Linked DNA regions of Alligator mississippiensis. The protein of the gene in region 1 interacts with the protein of each later gene in a biochemical or structural test. Links are inferred from orthologs where the notes say so. Each region holds a gene or a part of one and is shown on either strand. Other genes may lie near its edges.

What was found.
Region 2: the proteins of AMFR (region 1) and UBE2G1 form a complex in vitro, tested with the Homo sapiens proteins (7 studies listed by BioGRID, with this or other methods). The link is inferred for Alligator mississippiensis from reciprocal best matches to the Homo sapiens genes AMFR and UBE2G1.

What each region holds. Positions count from the first base shown.
Region 1 is NC_081833.1:41,619,087-41,623,027, forward strand, and holds the start of AMFR (E3 ubiquitin-protein ligase AMFR), read left to right. Parts: upstream 1-1,091; 5' UTR 1,092-1,160; coding exon 1,161-1,400; intron 1,401-3,941. UniProt on the Homo sapiens protein: E3 ubiquitin-protein ligase that mediates the polyubiquitination of lysine and cysteine residues on target proteins, such as CD3D, CYP3A4, CFTR, INSIG1, SOAT2/ACAT2 and APOB for proteasomal degradation.
Region 2 is NC_081837.1:14,258,784-14,262,383, forward strand, and holds the start of UBE2G1 (ubiquitin-conjugating enzyme E2 G1), read left to right. Parts: upstream 1-1,040; 5' UTR 1,041-1,143; coding exon 1,144-1,465; intron 1,466-1,717; exon of another isoform or gene 1,718-1,901; intron 1,902-3,600. UniProt on the Homo sapiens protein: Accepts ubiquitin from the E1 complex and catalyzes its covalent attachment to other proteins. In vitro catalyzes 'Lys-48'-, as well as 'Lys-63'-linked polyubiquitination. May be involved in degradation of muscle-specific proteins.

The DNA of each region.
Region 1 (3,941 bases):
TGGGGATGCGCTGTATGGGGTGCTCTGTTGGATTAGCTCTGCATGCTGGTTCTGGGGCTGGCCCGGATGTCTGTGCACACGCACACTGGAATGATTTAGGGCTAGTCTGGAACCTGCCCATTCAGCATGCATTGTCGAGGGTGTGCAAAGTGCGCTCTGAAATGGGGCCAGCGTGTGCTGCACGTGGCATGTGGGGATAGACCAGCTGCACACATTGCATGTAGTACAGGAGCCTGGCATGGTGCACGTGCTGCAAGCAGTGTCCTGCTGGCCAAGCTCTGGTGTGGCTCCATGATTATTTCTTATGGGTAATCAGACATCACAATATGAAGTGCTGAAAAGTATACGGCAAATATTAAAAAAGCAAGAAATAAATGTATAGTACTGTTACATTTTAAAATTGCCAAGTACTAGTAAGTAAGGACAAAACCCAAGTGTGGGCTAATGGTTTTGTTAATATAAAACTTGGTTAACTGACTTGCTGGGTAACTTACTGTGCATGAGTCTGACAGCAACTCAGGGTGTAGGATACTGTTTTTTCCTGAAATGCAGTTGGCTCCTGCTGCTTTCAGAGGTCTCCTTACTGTCGGTAGAAATGGCCCCAAATACCCAGAGTATCCTAGACCTGAGTTCCTATTCCCACAAGCCCCCTCCCCAGCCCTTCTTGAAGCCACTTCATGCTTTTGACCTATAACAATATCCAAGTTGTCCGGGGACGGCTGTTGCCTCCCCTCCATCGTATAATCCTCTCCGAGGCTCAGACGAGCCGCCGGATTGCTGTGAGACTAAGGGAAGAGCTTTGTGAGAGCTGCCGAGCAGGCGCTTTCCCGGGCAGCGCCGAGTTACAGGAGGCGAGGTGGAGGGAGGCTTAGGGAAAAAAGTTTTTACAGCGGCAGGGTCTGGTCCTCGCTGGGCCGGGCAGCCCGGAGCCAGCTGAAAGGCCCGGCTCGCAGAGGGAGATCTCCCGGAGATCAGCCGGGCTCGGCCTTGGCCTCCCAATGTCCGCTCTGTCTGCGCCGGCCTCAGCCGCTTCGCCGCCCAGCCCAGCTCCGCCCCTCGGGCCGATGGCCCCGCCCCCCGGCCGCGGCGGCGCTCGGGAGCGGGGACCGCGCAGGCCGCTGGGAGGTGGCGGGGCCTAGCTGGGCTCAGACGCGATCGCTATGCCGCTGTTGTTCCTGGAGCGTTTCCCCTGGCCCAGCCTGCGCACGTACGCGGGGCTCAGCGCCCTGGCGCTGCTCGGCTGCGTCCTCAGCGCCTACCGCGCCCTCAGCCAGGCCCCTGCCGCCTGGCCTGGGCCCGAGCCCCAGCCCCAACCTGAGCCACAGCCCAGCCCGAGCCGTGCCGGGCCGCTGCCGCTGGACGTCGCCTACTATCTGCTGTCAGACAGCCTTTGCGTCTGGGTGAGCACGGACACCGGCGGCTGCACAGGCCCCTGGGCCCGGGGGGCTTCTGTCTGGGCAAGAGGGGCGGAGGCTGGGGCCGGCCGCTTCAGCAGGGGGCGCAGGGCTGGGCTGGGCCTTTGCTGCTCGTGTGGGAGCCGGGAGCAGGGCTGCCCCGTTCCCACCAGCGCGGGCAGGTTTGCCTCAGGCCTGCACAGGCCCTGGGAGACCTCAGCCCTGCTGCCCTTGCAGGCCTGCGTGAAGGCTGCCCAGACTGGCCACAGGGTTGTTCCCTGCTTTCAGGGAGCCAGGGGGTGCCTCTGCCTGCAGGGACTTTGTGTGTTGTGAGGATTACTTTGCACCTGTGGCTGGTCTGAATTTATTGCGCGGTTCACCAATGGATTCATGGCATATGTAAGGCAGGGGGTCCCTGCCAAGCATTGCATCAATCATGCAATTCATTGGTTAAATTGCACAATCATTGCAGATTGATCTCACTTGTAAAGTAATTCTCACACCATACAAATGTTCCCCCACCTAGAAAGACCCCACCAGCTCCCAAGGGAGTGCTTGAAAATGTGTAACCCTACAGTTGGTTTCTGTCCAGTTTTCATAAGAAGGTGCGGCAAGGCCTTGAAGGCAGCTTGGTACCTACCTGTGGGGGGGTTCAGAGGAATGTTTGAGGCCTTTGCTTTTCAGAAATAGGTTCTTGTATAGGTATGGGCTGAGCATCTCCTAGGACATCCCCAAAACACGACTAGGGTGGAGCTGGGGATAAGCAATTTGTTCTAAATGAATGTTCAGATTGGGGTCTGTATCACAGGGTCACAGATGACCAGTCCTCAAACATTTCAAGTGATATTTGTAGTAAAGTAATACAAGTTCTTCTATGGGTGATCCAATGTACACAGTTTTTACTGTCTAGGAAACCGTTCTGGTGGAGGGAAGGAACAATGTTGGCAACTTGTGAAAGGCAGGGGTGACTCCTTTGTGGTCTCTGGGGTTGGTGGGGTGAGGCACTTTAATTAGAGTGGCTCTCGGGAGCTGCTCTAATAAAAATACTTCCAATGTCTCGTGTATTCAGTGTCCCGTGCTTCAACGTGGCAGCGAGGATGCTTTAACTAAAACACGTTTGACAAGCTTTAGTTAAAGCACTGCTGTTTTGAAATGCAGAGACCCTGAATACACATGACACTTAGGCTGCTGGGGTGTTCTAATTGGAGCACTCCAGCAGACTTGGTGTCACATATATGCAGCTTCCCTGTGTTTCAAAATGGCAATGGGGCACTTTAACTAAAGCTCAAGTGAGCAGAATCAATTTGATAATCAAGTCTGCTACAATGCATTCTAATTAGAGCATGTTGGAGCAGGCTTTGGGCATGTGTGTAGGTGCCCTCAGGGAAAGGAAAGTAAAAGGCAAGGGAAAGGATAAGGATCCTCTGACAGGGCAAGACTTACGTTGCATTAGTATAAATGAACCAGATTTAGAAAAAACAACCCCAAAATGGTCATTTTCCTTGAGTCCACTAAAATAGTAATATTTGAACTGGCTTCCGTATTTAATGTTCATTTGTACTAGAGACTCAAATGTAGTGTACCTTTGTAATTAGCTTGTTAAATTGTCTTCCTCTTAGGTGACATAATTTTAGAATGTCATTATTTAAAATAATAGGGATTCTGTGAACTCAAAACATAATGGTCATGGTGCCTGTAACACTTTGGGATTAGGCAGAAGGCTACTCAGAATATTAAACATGCTACTCTGTAGGAAGTATTTGTAAGTGAGTCCTGTGTTTGAAACCACATTGTAAAAGTTGTGAAAACAAGGTCTTACAAAATCTAACACCAATAGAAATGTTTACACAAATAGTGCAAGTGATCAATTATAACCCTTGTAGTATTTCTTTGTAAAAATGTCATGACATGCAATTCCTGTGTGTTTAATGTGCTGGGGTTTTGTTCTATAGTTGCCTAAATAATTTTTTTTTTAAAGTAAATCCTCTGTTGTGTTTCACATCAAAACATGCAATCTTATTACCTGCAAGTGGAAATAACAGTTATTGGGTGAAACTTACTTTATTTATTTTAATGATCTCATGAAATGCAAACTCAACAAAGAACGTGATACTTCAATTAGATTATTTTTTTTTCATGTTTGATAATGTAATATAAATATAATAATAGAATATAAAAACCCAGGGTATGTTTATTTACAATATATGATTTTTAAGTTCGTTATGGATAATTTTACCAAAGTACCCAAGGGGCTGAGCCTCCTGAGTCCGATTTTTGAAATGGGGCTTCATCTGTTTAAGAGTCCTTCAAAAATTTACAATGTCCCTTGAAAGTGCATTTTGCTGGAATATAATCTCTTGTCACATTTTTCCTCATGTATTTTGATGTGCATAATTCAAAAGGTTTTGCTCATCAAAAGTATGAGATAAGTTTAAACAATTCAGCATTTTCTGTTTTTGATGGCTTTAGTTTAAAATGACTGCCAAGAGCTGTAATCCAAGAGAGAATTGATGCAGTTGCAGAAAGTATATAACTTATTGATTAGAT
Region 2 (3,600 bases), on another chromosome or scaffold:
CAATTCTCGGGGCCAGAAAATGCAAATTTAATCCCATTACTATGCACAAGGTGCACTTTTAAGTGAATTTATCTAACGATGCTAGTTCTGACATGTACGAGGTAAAATTTGGGATCGGAGACTATACTTCAATGAAGCCGCACACCTGCCTCCCTCCTTAAAAGAGGCTTTGGCAGTAGCATCGGTGGGATCAGAACAAGGGGTTCCCGTCTCAGATTTCGAAAATCTCGCATTATTTAAATGTAACGACCTAAGGATACACAGCCTGGATCAGGACGACCCCGGGAAGGCTGCAAGGAGTGGAGGAGACAGTACCAGAAGGCACTGCAAGCGCAACAGCTGCAGACGTGGGCGACGGCCCGCACTGCAACTTCCACAGTGCAATATAGGAAGCAATAGCAGCAGGGTTTGCTGAAAGCCTAACCACTATCAGAGGTTGGCAGAACTGCCCTTCCAGCCTAGTTTCTTCTCCCTTAATATTAACTGCTGACTCATCGCGCAGCCAAAATGGGGTCACACCTCCTCTCACAAAAGGAGAGGAGGAAAAAGAGAAAGCAGGTGGTTTCATGGAGGGAGCTGCAAGGTGCAGCAGCAGAGCCCCTCCCTGGCAGGGGGCAGGGCCCCACATGGGAGCCTCCAGCTGCCAGCCCGGCCCAACGCCTTCCCCTCTGGCCCCAACCTTGCTGCTCCCCTGGCGAAGCTTCACCAAGGGCACTGCCCAGGTGGGTGCCCGCGGCCCCACACCCCCAGCCCCGCACTCACCCCTCCCCCTCGAGGGGCCACGTGCCAGGCTGCAGCTGCCACCCTCCTGCTTCCCAGCATGCCCCGCGCTCCCCACCTCGTGCTCACGACTCCCAGAATGCACCTGGCCCGGGACCCTCTTAAAGGGCCAGCGCGCCCCATCCGGGCGGTACCTGCGCTGTCCCGGGCCAGGCCTGGGCGCGCTTGTGGGAACGGGCGGCGACGGCAGCTTCGCACCGCTCGGGGCCACGTGCCGTGCTAAGCCGAGGGAGGGGGGGGTCTCTTCCAACTTCCCCTCCTATCAAACGGGTGCCGCCACTGCCGCCGCTTTCCCCGCGGGCCCGGGCCTAGGGCTGACCTTCCCAAAATGGCGGCGGAGAGGGCCGACGGGCCCTCCCCAAGATGGCGGCGCGGCCGGGCCGGGAGCTTGTAGTGCGCGTGCGCGCCGGGGCCCGGAGTGCAGTGAAATTCCGGGCGGGCGGGGGGAGGCGGCGGCGGCGCGGGGGAGACTCGGCGCGACGGGCAGGAGCCCGGCAGGCACCCGCGGGCTGCGGCGGCCGGACGGGCGGAGTGGGGACAGAGCCGGGGGGGGGCGCTCGCGCGGGGCTCGCCGCCGCCGCCTCGCTCGGTCGTAGCAGCCGCCGCCGCCCGGACTCCGCACCGGGCGCAAGGGGGAGAATGACGGAGCTCCAGTCCGCGCTGCTACTGCGGAGGCAACTCGCAGGTAGCCGGGCCGAGGGGGGGGGCGCCGGACCAGGCCGGGGCGGGCGGGCGCGCGGCGGGTGGGGGAGGGGCGCGGAGGGAAGTAGGGCATGGGGGGAGGGGCAGCGCGGTGGGGGAGGGGCGGGCCGGGGTTCCCCCCCGCGGGGGGGCGGTGACTGGGCGGCCCGGGCCCCGCGGGGTCTTTGTTCGGGCCTCGATCGGCTGCTCCCCAGCGCCGGCCCCGTCCCCTCCCTTTGTCCGCGGCCGCCCGGACCTGGCTCGGCCCGTCCCGGCCGCGGGGCGAGCATGCGCGGCCGCACAAAGCCGCGGCTCCGCGTCGCTCCTGCCAGATCTGAGAGAGACCCCGGGGGGCTCCTTCCGCGGCCCTGCGGCCTCGCCCCGCCGCCCTCCGCCCCGAGCCGAGCGGGGGGCCTCGGGGCTGCGAAGGTGTCAGGCGAGGCTCGTCGCCTCCCCCTTCCTCGCAGCCCGGAGGAGGAGGGCCGGGCTCCGGCCCACGTGTGTCAGGAGCCTGCGTGGAGGGGCGGGCACGGTGGGGCCACCTCCAGGGCGCTGTAGCCAGGAAGGTGGCGCGACACAGTCCCCGGGGGGCTCGGCTGCTTTCCGCCTCTAAAATAACTCCGCTCCGGAGTTGTCTTTCACCGAAAAGCGGACCGAGTCACTGCAGCTGGTGGCTTTGGGAGTGAAACCTCTCTCTCCTCTCATAGGAAACGGCAGGTGTGTATGAGCCCCCGTCTTCGGCGGTGGCGACGTGTCGTGCCTGTTGCTTAGGAGGAGTTGGGTGCCGGCAGCGCCGGGGTGCGTGATTTAACGCGTCGCTGCCGCAGAAACTTACTCTGCCGATGCTATCATCAAGGTCCCTGCATGCTCAAGTGCTGTCAGTTATAACGGGTATAGATATGGCCCCGAATCCTGTGGCTGCTAAATGGGCCCTTTCTAAAGGAGCCATGTGAGTAAATAAGCTGCTCAGTACAGCTTTTGGGGTTATGGAGTTGAACTAGTTTAAACGCTCAGTCGGCCAAAGACGCAAATAGACCACTTTCACGGCTTTATCTCGTAGACGCGACGTTCGGTAATTGCAGCATAAACATATTAGGCTGGATAATTCCTCCACTTCTTGTTTCTATTTGCTGGCATTTCTCCATAGCAAAATGAACAAAGTACCCTGTGATCAAAACAAAACTTGGCTATGTGTCTTGTAACTATTCAGAGTTACGAGACCAAAGAGCGAGACGTATTGCTGTTGAAGACAGTGGTGTCTTCTGAGGTTTTGTCTTGTTTTAATTAGAAGAAATAAATCATGGTTGTTTGCTTGAAGGAGTGGTAACAACGCTTCTGTATCCCTGCCATATTCCTGTTTCAAATCCAGATGGGCAACTTTACACTAACTCTTTCATTCAAGGAGTTTGAGTAAACTTGGAGGGTGGGTATCTGAGTATAGAAGTTGAATTATTTATAGTGGCTTGTTAACCTGTTGATCATCGGATGGATGTATACTTCTGCTTTAGACTGTATTTCTAATACTAAGATTTCATGTGCTAGGAGTTATGTTAGTTGGGCAACTGTAAGAACATAACAGAGTTGCCAACACGGGTTACTGCTCCCTCAGCACTTGGGAGATGGCCTGCCTAATGTCCGTGCTACATGCACTCATTTGACATGGGCCAACCCGTATTGTCAATGTGTCCGACATAGTTGGCAATTCTGTATGTGGATTTCCAGTGCAAGATCCTATAGTGCTACAGGGGAAGGTGTCTTTGGAGTATTCAGAGTTCCTGCTTGAAGACTGTCTCGTGTTATAACATGGACAGACTTTCTAACTGAATGACTACTACAGATGTCAATGCTCATCTTACTCGTGGCAGGACACTTGAACTCAATGCTGAGACTGAGCTTCATGGTAGGTCAGGTCTTCCTCCTTCACTGCTGGTTGTCTTCCAAGTCTCATCTGGGCCAGTGTATTTCACCCACAATACTAGTTCTCTTTCAAAACAAAATAATTAATATTCCAGTGTTCCTGTATCTTGTGAGACATTGGATAACGGTAGATGTGCCTTTGGATAGCATAGGATGGAATTCGGCTAGTTTTTGACACGATCAAAGTTTTTATAATTGCTTTGGGTTATACACTTACCTATC